Linked DNA regions of Ovis aries. The protein of the gene in region 4 binds, or shares a complex with, the protein of the main gene of each other region. Links are inferred from orthologs where the notes say so. Each region holds a gene or a part of one and is shown on either strand. Other genes may lie near its edges.

What was found.
Region 1: PHLDB2 (region 4) and PPFIA1 share a complex: the UniProt entries of both Homo sapiens proteins name them as parts of the cortical microtubule stabilization complex. The link is inferred for Ovis aries from reciprocal best matches to the Homo sapiens genes PHLDB2 and PPFIA1.
Region 2: PHLDB2 (region 4) and ERC1 share a complex: the UniProt entries of both Homo sapiens proteins name them as parts of the cortical microtubule stabilization complex. The link is inferred for Ovis aries from reciprocal best matches to the Homo sapiens genes PHLDB2 and ERC1.
Region 3: PHLDB2 (region 4) and PPFIBP1 share a complex: the UniProt entries of both Homo sapiens proteins name them as parts of the cortical microtubule stabilization complex. The link is inferred for Ovis aries from reciprocal best matches to the Homo sapiens genes PHLDB2 and PPFIBP1.

Annotation. Positions count from the first base shown.
Region 1 is NC_056074.1:43,849,567-43,854,678, forward strand, and holds part of PPFIA1 (liprin-alpha-1), read left to right. Parts: intron 1-970; coding exon 971-1,072; intron 1,073-1,535; coding exon 1,536-1,700; intron 1,701-2,350; coding exon 2,351-2,425; intron 2,426-2,776; coding exon 2,777-2,878; intron 2,879-3,100; coding exon 3,101-3,322; intron 3,323-5,112. UniProt on the Homo sapiens protein: May regulate the disassembly of focal adhesions. May localize receptor-like tyrosine phosphatases type 2A at specific sites on the plasma membrane, possibly regulating their interaction with the extracellular environment and their association with substrates.
Region 2 is NC_056056.1:213,611,436-213,617,259, forward strand, and holds the start of ERC1 (ELKS/Rab6-interacting/CAST family member 1), read left to right. Parts: upstream 1-2,241; 5' UTR 2,242-2,325; exon of another isoform or gene 2,326-2,481; intron 2,482-2,515; exon of another isoform or gene 2,516-2,656; intron 2,657-5,357; 5' UTR 5,358-5,601; intron 5,602-5,824. UniProt on the Homo sapiens protein: Regulatory subunit of the IKK complex. Probably recruits IkappaBalpha/NFKBIA to the complex. May be involved in the organization of the cytomatrix at the nerve terminals active zone (CAZ) which regulates neurotransmitter release.
Region 3 is NC_056056.1:187,728,592-187,733,703, reverse strand, and holds part of PPFIBP1 (liprin-beta-1), read left to right. Parts: intron 1-349; coding exon 350-382; intron 383-2,514; coding exon 2,515-2,665; intron 2,666-2,923; coding exon 2,924-3,052; intron 3,053-5,104; coding exon 5,105-5,112. UniProt on the Homo sapiens protein: May regulate the disassembly of focal adhesions. Did not bind receptor-like tyrosine phosphatases type 2A.
Region 4 is NC_056054.1:177,683,354-177,688,465, forward strand, and holds part of PHLDB2 (pleckstrin homology-like domain family B member 2), read left to right. Parts: intron 1-2,047; coding exon 2,048-2,267; intron 2,268-5,112. UniProt on the Homo sapiens protein: Seems to be involved in the assembly of the postsynaptic apparatus. May play a role in acetyl-choline receptor (AChR) aggregation in the postsynaptic membrane.

The DNA.
Region 1 (5,112 bases), on a different chromosome or scaffold from region 4:
ACTCCAGACTGGGAGGCTCTGGACTGGACACGGCCGCTTGAAGGCCCGAGTACGTCTCAGATTAACCTTATCTGAAACTGACCAGTTAGCGCTCCCTCCAAAGCCTGCTCTTCCTGTAGACATCCCCCCCTTGGAGATCAGCGCCTGCCTCCTTCCCTCGCTCCTGGGGGGCCGTGGAGAGGAGACCTAGTCCCTGTGGCCCCCCTCCCTGCCCGCTTCCCAGCCATGATGCCCAGTGCCCATGCCCTGTGGGCAGTCTGTCCGGTGTGAGGACACGCTGGATTGCTTCTCCCCAGCGGGACTGGAGCTTTGTGTTTGCCAGTCGGTGCTGAAATCCTGACGTGAAGGGCTGTTCTTGTTCTGTAGCTGATCGATGCTCTTAGAAGCCACCTTGTCTCCAAAGAGTTCTGCGTGTGTGCGCGCCTGCGCACGTGCATAAGTTGTGATAAAATACATGTAACATGAATTTAACATATTAACCAGTTTATTGAATGACTGGGTGACTTCAGTGGAGTCAGGCTAAGAGATGGCCTTGGGGTGCCTTCAGCCTTTTTCCCAGAGGAACACGCCAAAGCCTGGTGGCCTTGTAGACCTTACCTTTTTTCTTTACTCTCCCCGGTGTTTCTAGGTCACTTGTCTGTGTGTTGTTTAAGAATCTCTTCATCCACTTTGTTGTTAGGATTTATGTTTAGGAAAGTATCTCAGACTTCCCTGGGTCTGGAGAAGGCGGGCTTGGATTCCGGGTTCTCCCCTGGCACGGGCCTGCCAGGTCAAGGTGGAGGCTGAAGGCTGGCCTGAGTAGTGGTGGTCTGTGTGGTCTTGGGGTCAGCGGACCTCCTCTTCTCTGGAGGGGCAGGGAGATCCTTTGTGTGGAGCCTGGAGAAGCTTGACCGTGTCAGTCTTCAGAGTCTCACTCTCTTTCTAAATTTGTGTTTACACTTAGTTACTCACTCATTTAACTGTTTTCTAGGAGTTTGCAGCACTTACTAAAGAACTGAATGTGTGCAGGGAGCAGCTTCTTGAAAGAGAAGAAGAAATCGCTGAGCTGAAAGCGGAAAGGAACAACACCAGGGTCAGTAGGGGGATTCTCACGTGCTGACATTCGCCCCGCGGGGGTCAGCGCCGGGCTCCGTGCTGCTGTCTTTAAACTCTGTCTGGTTTTCAACCCATTTTCCACATTTTCCCACTGAGCAGACCAGGGTGGGTCGGTTTGGGGTTCTCATGCCTCCCTTCAAGTCTGTGATGAGCTAATGTAATCTCAGTACATTGGAGGGGTTCTCTCAACTTACATTCTTGCCCATGCTTCACTGTGTGTGGGATCTTGATTCCCCGACTGGGGATTAAACCCACGACCCCTGCAGAAGTGTGGAGTCTTAACTACTGGGCCACCAGGGAGGTCCAGTCTAACTTTAGACTGAACTGGCGGGATTCCGACGTGCCTTAGCACAGTTTTGGTCTTAGCGTGAGGCTGAGAGGAGCCACTGCCCCGAATCCCAGCCTGAGGCTGACGGTGCTGCTCTGGCCTCTCCCTGCAGCTGCTGCTGGAGCACCTGGAGTGCCTGGTCTCACGGCACGAGCGGTCCCTGCGGATGACGGTGGTCAAGCGGCAGGCACAGTCCCCAGCTGGCGTGTCCAGCGAGGTGGAGGTGCTCAAGGCGCTGAAGTCGCTGTTCGAGCACCACAAGGCCCTGGACGAGAAGGTACCAGCCACCCGGCCCTCCTGGATTTGTACACTTGCTGCCTTGTTAGGTGGACGACGCACGTGTTTGTGTAACTAGTTGACTTTTGAGCGTCTTGTATTCTTGTAAATACGTTTTTTCTGTAAGAAGTCAGAGTTTCAAATATAGTTAAGAAGCGCTGCCTGTGTGCATGCTGTCATGTCCGAGTCTTTCCGACCCTGTGGACTGTAGCCCACCACGCTCCTCTCTTCATGGGGCTTCCCAGGCAAGAACACTGCAGTGGGGGCCCACCTTCTACTCCGGGGACCTTCCTGACCCAGGGATTGAACCTGCCCTCTTGTATTGACAGGCGGATTCTTTACCACTGAGCCCCCTGGGAAGCCCCCAGTTAAAAAGTATTAGTTGGCATAAATATTTCAAGATTTATTAAATTCTGTATATCAATTTGCAGTTAAAAACTGGGTAATAAAATTAATTTAGGATAACATTTTGTTCTCTCAAACTTAGAATTGAAAGCTGTTAACAAGCAGAGTTTCTTGACATTAAGATCAATGAGAGACATTAAAGGTGCTCTGTTACGGTAGCCGTGTATGAGGGTGAGTGTACAGTGAGACGTGTACTAACGTGCAAACACACGTCAGCACACAGTGACTCGGCCCCTTTCCTCTCAGGTGAGAGAGCGGTTGCGGGTAGCGCTCGAGAGGTGTAGCTTGTTGGAAGAAGAGCTGGGCGCCACACACAAAGAGGTAAGCTCGATCCGCCGTCATGTAATTCGGCTAGGGCTTGTCATTTTTATCCCTTCGTTATGAAAAAGGATGAAGGCTGTCGCGGTGGGCATCGGGTGTTATTTGTCTTTCTGGTTGAGGACCTGCCCACCTGGGGCATTTTAATGACCAGTAAACTAGCCTTGTGGCTCAGAGCTGCAGGATCTCTCCAGCGCCCCTTTGTCCAGGAGAAGACAGATTCTGACTCTGATCACCTGGCTCTATTCAGGGTGGACAGCATCACCATGCATTTTCTTTTATGTTGTGTGTTCCGTTCAGAGTTGTTGCTGTGTTCACTTACTTCTTTACTCTCCTGCGATTTTTTGGTTTCAGCTGATGATTCTTAAAGAGCAGAATAACCAGAAAAAGGTACTAACGGACGGGGTGCTTGATGTAAATCACGAGCAGGAAAGCACGCCGAGCGCCAATGGAAAGGCAAGTCCTCCGTCTCGCACTCTGCCTGGTTCTCGTCTTACTGTCCAGTCTGTGCGGGGCTTTTGGGAACCTCTCACCAACACGCCATGTAGGTTGGAGCGGCCGTGAGGGTCCGGTGAGCTCCCAGAGCGCAGAACGCAGTGTGGACCTCACCGATTGCCCGGAGTGCTGTGTCCCCTCCCTCCCGAAACAGGGCCACCTAAGGCTTCCTTCCCCCCTTAGAGATCCTCCGACGGCTCTCTGAGCCACGAGGAAGACCTGGCCAAAGTGATGGAGCTCCAGGAAGTCATCGACAAGCAGTCGCGGGAGCAGAGCCAGATGAAGGAGCGCCTGGCAGCCCTCTCTGCCCACGTGACGGAGCTGGAGGAGGACCTGGACACGGCCCGGAAGGACCTCATCAAGTCCGAGGAAGTGAACACGAAACTGCAGCGGGACGTCCGCGAAGTGAGTGACGGCGGCCGCGTCCGTTGTCCTGCGGTGGACTGTGGGTCCCTTGTTCTCCTGGGGACCTCAGCCTAGGGGTGGCTGCATGAGCAAGAGCAGGGCACCGGCGTGACCGTGGCTGGTGGCCTCCCTGCCTCTGTGTCGCAGGCTCTGGGGCCCGGGCGGTCCGTTGGCAGTGGACCGACACGAGGGTGGCCCTGGCACTGTGCTGCACCCTGGGTGTGGACTCCGCATTCCTACAAGTTCTGGGCGGCCCGTGTGTTCCTTTCTGGAAATTCATGCATCCATCCATTCAGTTATTGGCGTATAGCTGCTTTGCACTGCTGTGTCGGTTTCTGCTGTACAGCAGGGTGAGTCCTATCCCTCTTTTCCTGGATTTCCTGCCCATTCACTTCACCACGGAGCACGGAGCAGCGGTCCCTGCGCGGTGCAGTAGGGCGATGTTACGCGTGGATCCGTAGTGAGATGTGTCCCTCACTGGCGATCTTACGCGTGGATCCGTACTGAGATGTGTCACTCACTGGCAATCTTACGCGTGGATCCGTAGTGAGATGTGTCCCTCACTGGCGATCTTACGCGTGGATCCGTACTGAGATGTGTCACTCACTGGCAATCTTACGCGTGGATCCGTAGTGAGATGTGTCACTCACTGGCGATCTTACGCGTGGATCCGTACTGAGATGTGTCACTCACTGGCGATCTTACGCATGGATCCATAGTGAGTGTTACTCACTGGCGATCTTACGCGTGGATCCGTAGTGAGTATGTGTTACTCACTGGCGATCTTACGCGTGGATCCGTAGTGAGTATGTGTCCCTCCTCCCCCTCAGACCCTCAGGCCCGAGCTGCGTGACCATGTGGAATCGTGATGATTCTGGCAGTCACGTCTGCGGGTGTCGTGAGTTGTGACAAGCTCCCTAGCGGTCACTGTGAACGCAAGAGAGTGCTGGCTCAGGCCTCCTCCTGTGAGCCTCGCCTCTCCTCTGTGCGCAGACAGACAGCGCCCACGCTGCCCCCCCACCCGCCGTGAGACCGTCTCAGGGAACCCCTCCAACACGTGGTACAGCAGGGGTACTTGTTTAGTAGCTTGGTGTGAGTAATTCTGGGTGAGAACTCAAAGCAGAAATATTTGCACACGTTTATACAACCTGTTCACACTACTCTTTGGCAGTAGGAGGAGATTAGGTGTCAGAGTTTAATACGTAGAGAATTCTGGAAAAGGTGTTTTAAGACCTTTCACTTTTAATGTTAGGACTTTCCCCACGTTGGTTACTAGTGACCAGGGAGGGACCTGAAATGGGTTTTGAGCCGGCGGACAGGAGTCGCACCACCAGCAAGTTCTGGCCCTGGTTTGAGCACTTCATACATGTGGCGTAGCTGCTTTAGAAGAACTAGGCTTGAGAAGGCCGCGCCCAGTTGTGTTAAACTTTCAATTCTCTTTCCACTCGTTAATATTCTCACTTTAATTTTGAGGAAATTGCATGAGATTTTTCCAACTTCTACCCGAGGAAACGAGCCTCAGAGCTCCCCATTGGATCTATTGAAGGTCCCTCCCTGTTCTGGGTCGAGCCTGCCTGTATGGTGTAGCAGACAGAGGTCCTGACTTCCTGCCGGATACCTTCTGTCCTGGAATTCTTGCAGTAACAGGGTGGTTTAGTATACTTTCTGTTTGCTGTGGGGGTTTATTATGTAGAAAAGAAGCTTGGGAAACCGAGTGCCCAGACAGAACGTTAAGACAGACGGGTGCCAGTCGTGGCAGACGTGACACTGAGGTAGGCGCGCTTTTGCTC
Region 2 (5,824 bases), on a different chromosome or scaffold from region 4:
TTCTAATTTAAGATTTACTTTTTGTTCCTAGAGTGTTAACTTATATATTATCCTTTTTTCATAGCTGTAGTAAGTTGGGAGCATACTCTATTTTTTTAAGTTCTCTGAAGTATCTTTTTCCTCTATGGTCACATTTTCTCCTCTGTCAGCCCCAAGTTGGAGACTTCCCTTAAATACCTAACAGCCCTTGGTTATCTGTTCATATCTAAGATGAAATAGTTGGACGCTGATGACGAATCTTTAGAACTTGGGAGGGTCTTGCCAACTTCACTCTAGGGTGAGTGGGTAGGAAGCTGGCTATTGTGCCAGAATAAAGAATGCTTTACTCTTAGTCATTAAATGCTCCCCAGAGATTATAAGAACTTGACTTTTAGCCTGGGATAAATGCCTAGCTATTGTATCTGAGGTATGGGGTGGGGAGGGCTGGGGTACTGCTGTTCTACATAGAAACCTTTATTTAGTTTCCTTGTTTTCATCCCTGCTTCTCACTCTTGGTCTGTTGTGCTGATGACTCCAAATTTCAGTTTCTTTAAATCACTTCTGGCTGCTAGGCCTCCTTCCTCAACTGCAGTACTCATTCCCTACACCTATTCCAAACTATGGTTTCTTCCATTTTGTTCAGTCAGACCACACTCACTTTCTCCGTGTAAAATTAACAACAACAAAAATTTGGTGGCTCCCTTCCCACTTTCTGTTCTGTACTGGTTTGTATCATTTTTCATTTCTTTATGAGCATTTTAACAGGGTTTTAGGAAGAGGAGGCAATTAAAGAATGTACTCAGCCAGCTTTAATTAAAAAAAAACAAAACAAAACCCTGGGACTTTGCTGGTGGTCTGAGGTGGTTAAGACTCCACGTTTCCAGTGCAGGGGGAATGGGTTCCATCCCTGGTCAGGGAACTAAGATTCCGAATGCTGTGTGAGGTGGCCAAAAGAATAAAAAAAAAAAAACTTAAATGTAGATTAAAGAAAAAAAAAAAAGATATGTAGGGCAGAGTAGGAAATAAAAAACAAGAACAGTGGAATGACAAAAAGAGAAACCAAAAAATTTTCTAAGCCTGTGATGTGGACAGTATTCCTGTGTAGGCAGAACAATGCTTAACTTAGCACCTTCCACTCTTCAAACCTACCCATTTCTGGGTTTGACGATAAACCTGAGACATCTCGTCCACACCTCACTTTACATTTAAGAAAAGCAGGACCCAGAAGTACTGGGATCTTTCCAAGGTCACACAAGTAGAGGATGGGCGAGGGGAAACCAGGTAGATAGCATGAAGTCCACTTTGCTTTCCTTCCACCTCCTCACATCGCTGGGGAGCTTACAGGACGAGCGGATCGGCAGTCAGGTGAAGACCGTGAGTCACAGGGGGTAGGCTTTTCCTGAGTAAAGAGTCTGAGAAAATCAAATACTTTAGGACGCTTCGTTTGGCAGGACCGCGCCGTCCCCCGGCAGCAGTACTGATCGTACAGAAGGGGGCGACGGTGTGGCAGGACCGAGACCGGGGGAACCCGAGGGCGGCGACGCTGGGCGGAGGGGGACGCGGTGACGAGCGAGGACCCTGAGGAGGGGCGCGAAGGTGGCGGTGGGACCACGAGGGAACTCACGCTGCTGTGACTCAACTGCTCTCAGGGTGTTTACTGATAAAACTCTCGCTGGCAGAGGCTGCAAACAACCCACATCATCACTCGTGGGGCGGCGACAGCTTACCTACAGCCTCACAGTAACGGCGCGCGCCTCAGACTAGGAAACCTGCCAGCGCTTCGGCACCACAAACTGGGGCGCCCGACGCGGGGCCGCCTGCCACCCGCGAGGACAGGGAAGGCCGCCGACGTTAACCGCGGACAGGCCGCCGGCGGGGTCTCCGGGCGGTGCGGACAGTCCGAGGGCCTCGGGGCGGGAAACTCACCTGCCCCCGGAGACCTGGGCACCGGCTGCGCGGCACCGGTCCACCGAGGCGGTAGTGGTTGCCCACTATCAGCGCCGCACCGCCTCCTACGGCAAGCGGAAGGAGACAGAGGCCGAGCGCCCCGCGCGGGGAGTGTGTGCGCGTGTGCACCCGCGCCCGCCATCCCCCAGCCCACCGGCCCCTTGGAAGGCGCCCGAGGTCCGCGCGCGGCCGAGTAGCCCTCCCAGGAGGCTGCGGGACGGCGAGCGGGCGCGGCCGGGCAGGGGCGGGGCTTGCGCTGACGTAGGCCCGGGGCGGGGCTGAGGACTCGCGCAGGGGGCGGGGCGCGGTGACGTCGGGCGCCCGGGCCGAGCTGTGGCGGCGGTGGTAGTGGCGGCGGCGGCGCCCGGGCTGGCAGCGGCATCGGCAGCCCAGAGGAGGGTGAGACGGCCGCGGTGGCGGCAGCTCGGGATCGGGCGGCGCCTGGAGCTTCCCGCCCGTCGCTGGCGCCAGGGCCCTCGGCTCTCCTGCGCCCGCTCCTCCCCACGGCCCTGGCTGGGTCCGGGCAGCGCGCCCCCGGGGAGGGCGGAGCCGTAGGTGAGGCGCGGGGACCCCTCCCCCTCCGCGCCCTGCCGGGGGGATGGGACGTCCGGGAGGGCGGCCCCACCCAGCCCACCGGCGGGTGTCCCTGGACCGGCTTGGGGGGCGGCGACGGCGGGGACCAGTGGGGGCTGCGGGCGGCCGGCTTCAGAGGCGTGATGTTGCGGGCGAGGTGGGGATGTACACGCCTCGGGGAGCCCCGGGAGGCTGGGGTGCGGTCGGGTTGGTCTGGGGTTTGGGTACCGATATGCAACGTTGAGATGAGAATTCTGGTCTCTTCTGTGAAGTAGTAAGATGGGAGATGGAGGGTTGGCTTCCAGAAGGGAGATGAGCTGTGGATGTTGCCTTTGAAGCAGTTGGAGAAGCTATTGCACTAGGTCTCACGTTTCTACTTAGGGCTTTTTTTTTCCCCCCCTCTTTTGGCGGGGTGGGGGTCGAGGAGGGAAGCGACTCCCTCAGCTTTTGGCTCAGGGTGGGGAAATTGTGGAGCGTGGACGGGTTTGGAGTTTTACACCCTTGAAGGGGAGCCGAGATCTTGGGTTAGACAACTTCATTCTGGCAGCAACATTAGGTAATAGGTCCCCTTACACTTTATTTCTAAAAGGCGTTATCTTCCAGTCTTTTATTTATTTATTTTGGTGCCTATACGATCTGTATACCTCATCTTCAAGTTTTATCCTGGCCCCTTAAGAGAAGGCCCGAGGATCAGGTGGTTCCTTTGGAAGTCACGTTTTTGAGGAGTAGCTGCAGGTGGTTGTGGTTGACTGCTTTGGATGGATAAAATGAACAATTTGCACATTCCTGTTGGCTCTAATTAAATGAAACATACTTAAATGTTTTAAAGCACGACTGTCTTTTGCAGCTCAGTTTTTAGTAGATCTTGACAGTTAGCTGTTTTGTGTTTGAGAATTATTGGAGATTTCTGAAGTTTCTCAGTTGCATGTCTTTATTAGACATTTAAAGTGGAATAAAATTTTTTGGTAGGTCCCTACATTTTTGAGAAACATTCTTAAAGTCAGGTGCTCTTGAAATGTTTTTGGGAGCATGTGTCTGTAGCTGCATAGGGAGATGCTACTAAGAGTAAAGGTTCTTCACAGCAGTGTTTCACAACTTAGCACATTAAATCAGAATCTCTTTTTCTGGATTCCTGCTCCCCATCAGATTACAGAACTCCCTGGCCTTACCTGTCAGTTAATATCATTTAAGCTATTTCTTGCTGGGAAAACAGGCCCTGAGATGGACATGTATTATGTAATAGATGGAAGTAGGCATGACTCTCAATAATTCATTTATGGAGGAAGAGAAACCGTCATGAAATGGAATTTAAGCAGTGACTTTCCCAAGGCTTATTCAATTTATTTGGGAACATAGCCAGAGAAGTGCTTTCCTGTAACCCAAGAGAGAAATATACAGGGTGAGTGTCAGTGGTTGCCTTTTTTAACATGTCTACTTAATGAGCAGACTATTATCCTCCAGCAAATACTTGTGCTTGAAGAAACTTATAGGAAACAGATGATATAATAGCTATTAAGTGAAAATAGGTGTGGTCCAGTTTGTAATTATAAACAAAAGATTTAATTAACTATTCAGACAAGTCAAACTATAAGTTGATATAATAATGGTTTTGATACCGGATTAGTCTACTTGGAAAGATTAAAATTCACATATCTGGTTTTGGCTTTCATATTATACTTTGACTTAATTGAGTATATATGGGGACAGATGTGAACTAAGATACCAGGTGAAACTGTGTATTTTGCTAAAATGATATTTCCATGGCTGACAGTGGGATGTGGTTCTCCTTACTGAAATGCAGTCATATAATTTGGGAAAAGTATAGGGTGATCTATTTCTCTTTAGGATTTCTTATGCCTGAGAAAACCGGTATGTTTTATTTTTAAGAAGTGTCATTTACTAGTCATTACTGTGATATCTTTGTTGAGTCTACTGGGATATTCCCCCCCACTTTTTTTTAAATTACTAAGGTCAGATAAGTATGTCAGTCTGTTAGGTCAACTTTAATACTGAAACGAAAAGCGAAGATTCTTAAAGCAACAACTGTTCTTTTTCTATGCTACATTTATGCTTTTAGAGACAGTATAAGAGCTATTAAATGTGTTTTGCACATACTATGACAAAAACGTTGATGGAGAAAGATGAGGGAGTGAAGTATTTTGGCTAATCAACAAACAGTGTATTGATTATGGATTTTCAAACATAAAATGTAATAAAGTAAATTAAGCATAAAGGTTATGTGTAATATAGTTTATTTCTATGACTTGCTTTTTCAAAATGTGAGCCTTTGGGGTGCTGGCTCATTCATTTATTCATTCAACAGTTATTTTTTGAGTATGGTTCTGGGTACATTTTTTAGCCTTTGGGGATATAGCAGTGAACAACACTGACTAACATTCTCACCTTCATAGAACTTACCTTCTGGATACCTTCTGGGGAAATGAAGAGGAACTCAGCAAAGGAGATTAATAAGAGGCCATTGAGGTAGAAGGAAAACCAGGAGAGTGTGATGTACTGGAAATGAAGGAAAGGAAGTTTTCAAGGAGGAGGGAATGATCAACTGTGTCATTGTTTAAAGATGTGTCAGACTGTTGGGCAGGAAAGAATTCTGCCTGATGTCTAATATCAGAGAGATGACTAAATGCTTTTTAGTGTGAGATGGGGGCAAATGGAAGAATCAGTTTTTTACTTCCTTGGATTGATTTAAAATAAATATATGTATAAATATATATATTTAAATTATATATAAATCATTTTATGATTTATATGTGGTAAATCATATAAATATATGTTTTATATTTAAAATAAAATCATATATATATTTTAAAAATATATATTTCATACTTTATTCTTTTCAGAACAAAATATACAGCCTGGGAGTTTATACTTGTACTAAGGAGAGGGCTTCCCTTGTGGTTCAGCTGGTAAAGAACCTGCCTGCAATGGGGGAGACCTGAGTTCTATCCCTGGGTTGGAAAGATCCCCTGGAGAAGGGCCAGGCTACCCACTCCAGTATTCTGGCCTGGAGAGTTTCATGGACTGTATAGTTCATGGGGTCACAGAGAGTCGGACACAACTGAGCAACCTTCACTTCGAGGAGAGGTATGACGTTATTGTTATTGATCATTTATACACTTATATTTTTAAACACATGTATCAAATCAGAAGTTATAAAAATACACAGGGAAAAAAATAAGTCTCTTCTCCATTCAGTTGTTCCTGAAGGCAGACACTGTTTTCAGTTTCTTGTTTTTCCTAACCAGTGAAATTTTGTGCAATAATATGACATTAAACTATTTTAATGCATAAAAATAACAAGTATTTT
Region 3 (5,112 bases), on a different chromosome or scaffold from region 4:
GGGGGAAAAGTTAATTAAAAAATGCTTCCACAGGCTTAATTCAGAGGTAAAGATAGCTTGGTGTGAATTCTCTCACTCTGCTCCCTGTTCTGGGTGTAAACTTAGAGGAAAAACCAAAGCCCGTGGCTCTCTCTGACATCATTACAAGCAGCTTCCCATCTACTCTGAAATTCACCCCGTATTGACACTGCTAATGGAGTCTGTGTGTAGCATCGGAAGCGCAGTGTGGCTCCCCTCTCACTGTGTGTATTTTGTGAGTAGGAGTTTGATCTGTGTTTCATTTTGTCATTCCCCTGTGTTTTCTCCATTGGGCTGCGTGTGATTGTGTGCGTTGTTGGGATTTCTGAAGATCGTAAACGAAGTGCCAGTGCACCCACCTTAGGTACCGTACCCCTGCATGCCTGCCTTTGCCAGCGCTGTGCTCCCAACCAAGCTAATCCCTGCTCTTGGCATCCTGATCACTAGACAGCGAGCTGGCAGCATCAAAAAATGGAGTCCTCTACTCCAGAGGTTTCCTTCCACCTTCCGCTCACCAGGACTCTCTGTAGAGCCTCCGCTTCTAAGCCTAAATGCTGCTGTAACCCATGCTAATGGCACCTTGCAAGCAGCTCTGTGAAGACCTAGATGTGCCCAGCAGCCGGCAAAGTGCAGGGCAGGAATATCCTGGCGTCATAAATCCAGCTCCTTCACCCCAAAGTACATCATATCACACTAACTCCCAGGGCCTTGCAGTTCCTCCTTGATGGTAACATTTCCCCAGACTCCAGGAAGAAATGTTTTTAGCTGAACAGGTCTGTGGGAAACACTGAAAACGATCATTTTAGACTTACTTTTCTTAGAGGAACATCCTTCTGACATATTACTTTGAAGATGGAGGTGACATTTAGTTATAGCAATATCTGAGGAATTACCCCCAAAGCGATTTTAGGAGAGGGAAAGCTCAGTTTTCCTTTTTAAAGAATACAGTGGTAGGGAGGTTATCCTCAAAATAAATAAAAACAGGATGCTTTTAAAATGAGGGAGAGCTGGGCAGCATTTTCAGAGACCCCAGTACCTCTTATCGTGGCTGTAGGGTTTGAATGGATAGATTCCTTTGATTTTCCCAGTGGGTCCTATTACCTTGTATAGGTATCCACATGTTAATATGGGTCAACAAAAGTGACTTCTCTCTCTTCATTGCCTTAAATGTCCAGCATATACACAGGATGAATGAAAATGATCTATCCAGACAACTGTTCTCAAATGTGTTTGCATCTTTCTTAGGAGAAACGTATTGTTGATACTGAGAGGCCAGTCAATGCTGCTTACCATAACCTGTAATCACAGCTCTGCTTCATAGACAAGTCAGCCTCTGCAACTTTTAGATCTTGCTGAAACACTGTCCCTGTGATTTTTGTACAACTTTTACTTTGCTCTGTAAAAGTGCGTGTTCTCACATCGAGGAATCAGCATCCTTGTGTTTGCTAGTGTGAGATCAACAGCTAAACAAATGAGGAGAGTTGATGCTGGGAAGTCTGAGGATAACAGATTTGGGTGTTACTCTTTTAAAGCAAAATCAACAGGCACTAGTTTCCTATCAAAAGAAAAATAATTTCATTAAGAAAAATTTATGACTATCCAGTTCATTCTTTTCTTAGTTCCTGGAACATAACAGGTTATAATTAAGAATAAATTTCTTAAATAAAGAATTCCCAGAACTTGGTAACCAACTCGATGTAAATGCCAAAGGGGAGAAGGGAATGAAAAGAAAATGACAAACAGGTTAGACTGGAGTAACAGGGAGAAAATTACCTGGTATTAATGAAATATGAAATAAGAAAATGTAAAAGAAGACTCTCAGGAAAATTGGATGGATTTGTTAAGTCCCAGGTACTCTTGGCACATCAAATTGGGAATATCCACTGACATTCAGATACTGAATGTAGCTGGGGAGAGAGATTTTTAGGCTCAGAGATTCTGATACCAGTTGCTTTGTTCATGAAATGAGCAAAGCCATCATTTCGTGCTGAGCATAGAGTGAGTGAGTCTGTTAAAAGATCCTGCAGAAGGAACCCAGGAGAGAATCTTGGAGTGAAAGAGGAAGAGAAAACAGCGCTACAGCAAAGAAATTTTCAGATGGCAGATCTAGGAGCTTGTTATGTCAGGAAGCTAAAGGAGATGATGGCTTTGTAGGAAGTAGTCAACAGTACCAAGCACTGCAGCAATTTCGAGAATGATTTCATTATGGATTCAAATCAGTTAAGGAAAGAGTATGATAATGCTATTTTACCTTTGATCTCAAAGGAGATATAATTTCCAAGTTAATAAACTTGATACACAATGAAGTAGATGGTAGAGTAGGATGTAGATTTGTGTTCCATTTTTAATATTTGCAGGGTGCTCTTTCTAAGTCACTGGTTTATAGATCAACAGAAGAAGAATTCTTAATAGTTGCTTAAACCACGGCGGTTAACACCTAGGCATGTTCACCCATGTTTTAAAATTCATCAAGTGTATATTCTGTTCTTGGAATAGCTGAAACAGAGAAGGAGACACCGGAGCACCTAGATCTGGCTGGTGTATCTTCTCGGCCGAAAAATTCACAGGGAAGTAGTGCCTTCCAGATGTCTCCACCATCTCCAGATTCCAAAAAAAAATCCCGGGGTATTATGAGACTCTTCGGAAAGTAAGTAACAGAGCTTTGTCTTATATGTGGCTCAAATGTAGGGATGATTGGCAAACTGGCTAAAAATGGTTACAACATTTTAGGGCTTTTGTGATCCTTTTACAGAGGGAAGATTGTGATGGGATTCATTAACTCTTTGAGTCTCAAAGTTTAAATCCAAATGTCTTTTCTAACCATACATACATAAGCATCAGTTTAAAATGTTCAAATTAAAGTCAAAGACATCTTCAGGTCTAATGTGCTGTGTCTTCTTTACAGACTTAGGAGAAGTCAGTCCACTACATTCAACCCAGATGACATGTCTGAGTCTGAATTCAAAAGAGGAGGGACAAGGGCAACTGCGGGGCCCCGATTGGGGTGGTCTCGTGATTTGGGACAGTCTAACAGGTAGGAGCAGCCACATGAATGGACATTTGCATCACCTCCCAAGCATCAAGGTCTTGTGAGCATCTGCAGTGTTATTATTGACCCTGGGTTAGACAGCTGAATCCATTGCTTACTGCTGCACCTACGGAAGCTTCTGTCATCCTTAGACTAGTGCTGTTTGGCTGTGGTTAATGAGGAACTATACAGAAGATGAGGGCTCTGTGAGCTAGGTGAGTAACCTGAGCTGAAATGTCAGCAACATCTGTACTAGAATGGCTCTTGGATTTAAATTTTACATAAAAAGTAATTATAGGAACTCTAAAGCATAGCTCTGGAAAGATGGGAAAGTGTAGTGGTTAAGAATAGGTTCTACAGACTTGTGGTTGCCAAGGGGAAGAGGAGATGGGGGAGGGATGGAGTGGAAGTTTAGGATTAGCGGATGCAAACTAGTATATATATGATAGATAAACAACAAGGTCATACGGTATAGCACAGGGAACCATGTTCAAAAGCCTATAATAAACTGTAATGGAAATGAATATGAAAAAGAATATATATATATTTATATATCTAAATTACTTAACTTCACACTAGAAACTAACACAGCATTGTAACTCAACTATAATTAAGGGGGAAAAAGAGAGAATAGGTTCTAGAGATAGACTGCTTGGACCTGATTTCTGACTTCACCACTTCTTGTAAGCTGAGTGACCTTAACCTATTACTTTCATGCTCTCTGCCTCTGTTTCCCATAATATGAATTAGTACTTACCCCCAAAAGATGATTGTGATGATTGAATGAGTTGATACGCTTTAAGTATCTGGCAAAAAAATAACTGTTCAGTGTACATTAACAGGGCTTCCCTGGTGGCTTAGTCGGTAAAGAATCTGCCTGCAGTGCAGGGGACCACCTGCAGCACAGGAGACCTGGGTTTGATCCCTGGGTCAGGAAGATCCCGTGGAGAAGGAAATGACAACCCACTCCAATATTCTTACCTGGGGAATTCCATGGATAGAGGAGCCTGGCAGGCTACAGTCCATGGGATTGCAAGAGTCGGGAACAATTTAGCAACTAAACCACCAAACATTAACAGTTAATATATAATGTGAAAGCACTTAAAAGACATACATGGTTTTGGAATTCAGTTTATCAGGACTGTGTACTGTTAAGACTCTAAGAACTTTTCCTACACCTTTATCCCAGTTTAGGGCTGGTTTGGAACTGCTCCACAGACTTGCTAAACATCAAAGGGTGTGGTTGGCAAACATATAGCACAAGTCATTGATACTAAATCTTAAAAAAGAAAATAGGCTGGAAACCTTTCACACATGGTCCCTCCCACCAGACAGAACACTGGGCACCGGTTTCGTCAAGGAGGAAACTCTTTGGCCTTCTTCAAACATGGAGCAGTCTCGTTTGCCATATGTTCTCTTGTACACAGTAGAGGAACTCTTTGTGCTGCTTTAAAAAGAAATTTTCTTATTTGTTGCCACACTGTTTTTTTTCCAAACAAGAATGCCATTTGTAAAAATAGCATAAGAAGTTAATACAATATTATAAACCAACTAGATTCCAGGTTAAAAATTAATTTAAAAATAGCAAAAGAAAGCAAAAATTTACTTTGATTGCACTATCTCACACTCAGGAATGGCATATTGCCCTCTTTTCATTGAATACCATGTGGAGAGAAATTGTAGTTCTACTAAAGTTAATTCAAGTTAGACTTGAGTTTCCTTCAGTCTGATCTAGTGTTCTCTGAAGATTCAACCTCTAAACAACATTGGTTGGTACTAGTATAATACCTTGATCTGTGCGTTTAACTCAGTCTTCTTCCATAGAACAAGGTCTTCTTAAGTCATGTTGAATCTTTTGTGGCTTTGTTTGACACAAGGGAGCGTTCATCTCCCTTGTGAGGAAGTATCATTTCCTTCACCAAATACATCCTAAAAATTAGACTTTTCATAGTCAGATGGGAATCTCTGTATCTATTAAACATACAGTTGTTCCACCTTCATGATAAGTTACAGGATTGGCTTTGAATTGTTTTCATATGATTGTTCATTTTCCCTTAGTGACTTGG
Region 4 (5,112 bases):
GCTTTTGGCTTCTAATGGCCAAGAGAAAGATGTTATTAGGCCAAAAAAAAGTGTGTTTATTTCAGAATTCATTGGGGACAACTAACAAAATAACATTTTTCTTTAGTTAAGCGTGGAACATTTTCATGGGAACCCATTTTTTGGAGTATATTTAAAAAGAATTTTTTTTTTGAGCGACTTTGAAAGTTCAGCTAGATTCGTTTCTAGAAACAAATACAACACCCAAACTGAGTTGAGAAAAAGAGATTCTGTCATCTTTTGGAAGCAGACACTCCAGTACAGAATAACGAGCCCAGTTCCTTGCTGGTGGAATTAATATTTATGGTGGAATTCATTTTAAATTAATTTTAATGGTGGAATTTAATCAATAATTAATATTTTGAATTGTTTTCCTAACCACACTGTGTTATCACAGTGCTGCCAGTCCACACACATGGGCACAGGATTGCTAAACTCAGGAGAACCACCCACTTTGTTTAACTTCCTGTCTCAGTCATCGTGGAGTTTGGTCTTGTCACTAGAACTGCTTACATAATGTATGTTTCCGGAGAAACTAAAGTAAAATTTTAAGTACCATGTAATTTAAAGGTCAAGTCAGCTTTACCAAGGCTTACTAGATTTAAAGATAAAAGGTACCAGTTCCTTCCCTTATTCCTTCCAGTTGCTGGCAGTTTGAAGTTCAGCAGTGAGAGACTTGCCTTAATCTGTGGCACCTGTCTAGAGTCAGAGTACCACAGAATCAAAGGCAAAATAAAGGGAAAATCCAAGGAAAGCGTGTTCGTTTTATCTCCTTATGCCAAACCTCTGGCACATTTCGGTTTGCTGGAAAGGTCATCCATGACTATTTGGTATCTGAAGCCAAACCAAAGGCACAATTCTATTTTAATCTCAAAGATTAGTTTTGTTTCCAAGTATATGATTAGGTTATGTTCCCCCAGGACAAAGGGTGGGGTAGTCTAACGGCATAAAATATGAGACCGGTTTAGAAATGTTACTCGTGGTGACATGCTCGACCTAGTCTAGATGAACCTCTGCTCCAGCTGGTGACATGCGCGACCTAGTCTAGATGAACCTCTGCTCCAGCTATTGCTATTGCTACTGCTAAGTCACTTCAGTCGTGTCTGACTCTGTGCGACCCCATAGACGGCAGCCCACCAGGCTCCCCCGTCCCTGGGCTTCTCCAGGCTAGAACACCGGAGTGGGTTGCCATTTCCTTCTCCAGTGCATGAAAGTGAGAAGTGAAAGGGAAGTTGCTCAGTCGTGTCCAGCTGTAGTAAACTTAAAGACATCAATGACAGACTTCTCTGCCTGGTCCCGGACTACTCATTGGGTACAGCTTTCATTCCACATTCTTATCTTATTTTAACTTTGCCTTTCAGAACACCTCTGCCTTCAGTTTCTATCAGAGAGTACACGAAAATCAGCATGTACATACATATATGCTTGGGGCATCTGGTGGGGGCTGTACTTACTAAATGACGTTCAGTCAGTTACATCATGCCTGAGGTTATATAAGGAGAACTGTTGTTGAGGTTGTGGCAGGGAGAACTCCTGGGAACATTACAGTGGAGGAGCCCTCCTCTGAAAGAAGCAGCCGAGAGAACTTCATGCCCTATTTCCTTATGTTTTTGTCTTGTTATCTGCCGTGCCAAGCGGCATATGGGATCTTAGTTCCCCGACCTGGCATCAAAGCCATGCCCCCTGTGCTGGAAGTATGGAGTCTTAACCACTGGACCGCCAGGGAAATCCCTTCCCAGTTTTAAGTGCTGAATACCTCTTTTAAAACTAAGGTAAATGACATGTTTCCATTTTTTCATCTGGCCTTTTCAAGGAATAGAATCTGTTGGCCTGAATTTATTCGCATCCCCCCCTCCCCATACCATCACATTTTTCTTTAAATGCCATCCACTTTTTCGATTCCAAATGACAGTGTTTAAGTTCTCATAATTGCATGGACGTTTGAACACTTAGGCTTTTCAGTTCATAAACATCTGTGACCTAAAACCAAACAAAGAGCTATAGATTAGATGGGCTTGTGCATTTCCAGGCTCGACCTCTGACCCGCTATCTGCCTGTGCGGAAGGAAGACTTTGATTTGCGGAGCCACGTAGAGACTGCTGGCCACAATATCGATACGTGTTATCATGTGTCAATCACAGAGAAGACCTGCAGAGGATTCCTCATCAAAATGGGTGGAAAAATTAAAACCTGGAAAAAACGTTGGTTTGTTTTTGATCGGAACAAGCGCACCTTCTCTTACTATGCAGGTAGGTCATAAAAAAATCCAAGTGATATTCAAATCAGGAATTTTCTGTTAAAGAACAAAAGCAATAAAATTCAGAATAAATAAGTAAAATGAAAAGTAATAGATTAATGGCAATATTAGCTTGATAGATGTATTCAGATCATATGGTCCAATATTTATGAATTTCCTCTAGAAATAATAAAAATTACATTTTAAAAAAGTGTGAGTCAGTTTTGTTCTGGTTCTGAAATAAACTCAAACCCAAATAAATATTAAATGGAATTTACTTTTTAGACCAAAATACTATCTTTTAAACCATGAGATCAGAAAAGGTTTCTATTTATTTATTTATGGTCATATGCCCTATTTAAGTCACACACAATTAGATAGCTTAGCTGACAGCCATTCAGCTCTAGTTCATGGTAATTTCAGCAGTGAAAAGCTCCTTGGTGAACTATTGAATAAGTTAAGTATTTACTGGGAAAATTTCCAGTAAATACTGGAATATTTTTGGATTCTTTAAATGATAGATTATGAGACTCGTACCCTACTGAATCCTCTATGAGTACAGGAATATTTGTGTAACCAGTGTACTTATTAAGAAGCTATTAAGAAGCCCCTTATTTACACATGGATTTCATATGAAATATGTCCATTAGCTGCACAAGTATAGCTGTGCTCTCTTTTCAGCTGCTGAATAAGAGTAGTGTCAGACTAGAGGTTATGAAGACACCCTGCCTTGGGGTGATAGTTCCAGCATTTATGAGCATTGTTGGGAATTGTTACAAAGTGTAGCAAGTAATAAATTTAAAAAAATAGTCCAGTCATTTAATCTGTAGGGTGTGGTCAGGTATGTTTATAAAGAAAGGTGTCAGAAACCAAGAAGCTTGGGGAAGAAAGGAGCCTCTGTCTATGGAGACCCAGAATCCCAGAGTGAAGGGTGGCAGGGTACATGCCTTTAAGCAGGGGGCACCAGAGTGAAGGGTGGGCAGGGTACATGCCTTTAAGCGGGGGCTCTTTGGGTGGGGCTCCAGTTTCTACAGTGGAGAGCAAATGGCCTAACTCTCACTGGTTACCTCTTTTGGGCTTTCTGACTTTGGGTTTTATAAGAATCCAAAGACAAGATCTTCAGTTAATACAATAGAAGAGATGTCTATGTGATAAGAAATGCCAATTCAGTGTCTGCAAAATGCATAAAGAAATTTTGCTATGTGCTAGTCTCCACTGACAACCTTAGCCAGAATTTTAAAATAATTCAAATAAAACAGCTTTGCTCATCTCTGCTCCTTTTTTTAGGAGCCTTATTTCATTCTTTCTTTAGTCTGACAGGTGAGAGGTTCATTGCTTGTTTCTGGCCCATATAAATGTGTTTTTCAAATTTAAACTTCTTAGTGACCAGTTTTCAATTTTTTTTTAAATACCAAAATCTTTTGGTATATGAACGATTACTCAGAACGCTAATACCTAAAACAGACAAAAGTTATATTTAATTCAGCTTTCTAATATTTACAGATTGTATAGCTGACTGGTGAGACCTAGTTTGTCGAACGAAACGCTGCCCATTTGGCTCTGTTTGCAGCCATCATCAGCTTTCCTGCTCCCGCCCTCCCCACCCCGACTCTTTCCCAGATGCCACCAAGCACAGGAATGCATCAGCCAGCAGGCTTGTCCTGCAGATGTAGTTCATGCTGGACTCGATCCCATAGGTGCCACGAGATCAAATCCCATGTCAGCAAGCTAGTCAGCCTGGTAAATGAACACGGCATGTGTGCAGGGCCTAAGCCAAACTCATAGGTCTCCCTGTGGAGCAGGCCCCTGTGCTTGGCCTCCCACATAGTAACTGAGCAACTTTAGAAGAGTCTCTAAACAAACCTAAGGCACAGAAAATATGTCTGTAAATTGCTAGGATAATGCTATTGAGAAGGAATACTAGAATTATCTCATCAATTTACAAGAGCCTTGTATTTTCCATTTTTTCTGACTCGCCCTACAAACAAAAGTTTTCTTCCCCCAGTTTTCTGCCTGCTTTGAAACACTGACAAGGTTTACTTTTATCTTCAGATTTTATTTTATACCCATTTCCAGAAAACAGAGTATTATTGTTTTCCAGTGAATGAATTATTGCAGGATCTTTTCCACCAAATGTTTGAGAAACACACTCACCTTTTCTTTCACAGAAACGGATGGAAACCCACTGAACATGGTATTAATTAAAGTGTTTCCCTAGGAAGAGCAAAAATAAACACAAAAATATGGTCTATGCTCAAATAAGTTTAAAAAATGCAGAGTTAAATGCAATTATATAGGTTTATTTTCTGCTGAACTTCTCAGGGCTGATATTTTTCAAATTTGCTTTTTACTGTTGTTAAGGGTATGGGGGAGGAGGGGGCAAGGACTCTCATTTTAGTAAAAACTTCAAAATGCAACTAAGTCTAAATAATTGAAGTAAGTCTCTGTCCCATGACAGAAGTTCTGACCTTTTCTAACACTGTTAAGCATGAAATATCCTTTCAGATTTTCTCCATGCCTTTTCATATATGGTTCAATGTACATAGGTATTGTTTCTTCTTTAATCCATTTAGGACCAAATTATTCACCCTGTTCCTACCTTTCTTCTCATAATGATATTTCAAGGTTTTTCTCTTGAGCACATGCGTATTTACCTTGCTCTTTTCACTGGCTGTGTAGATTCCATTGTATGACTGGTCTAGAATTGAATCAGTTCCCTATTAAGGCTCCAGCAAGTCTTTTGCAGCATTGTGGGTGGCACTAGTGGTAAAGAACCTGCCTGCCAATGCAGGAGACATTAGAGATAACAGTTTGATACCTGGGTTGGGAAGATTGCCTGGAAGAGGGCACAGCAACCC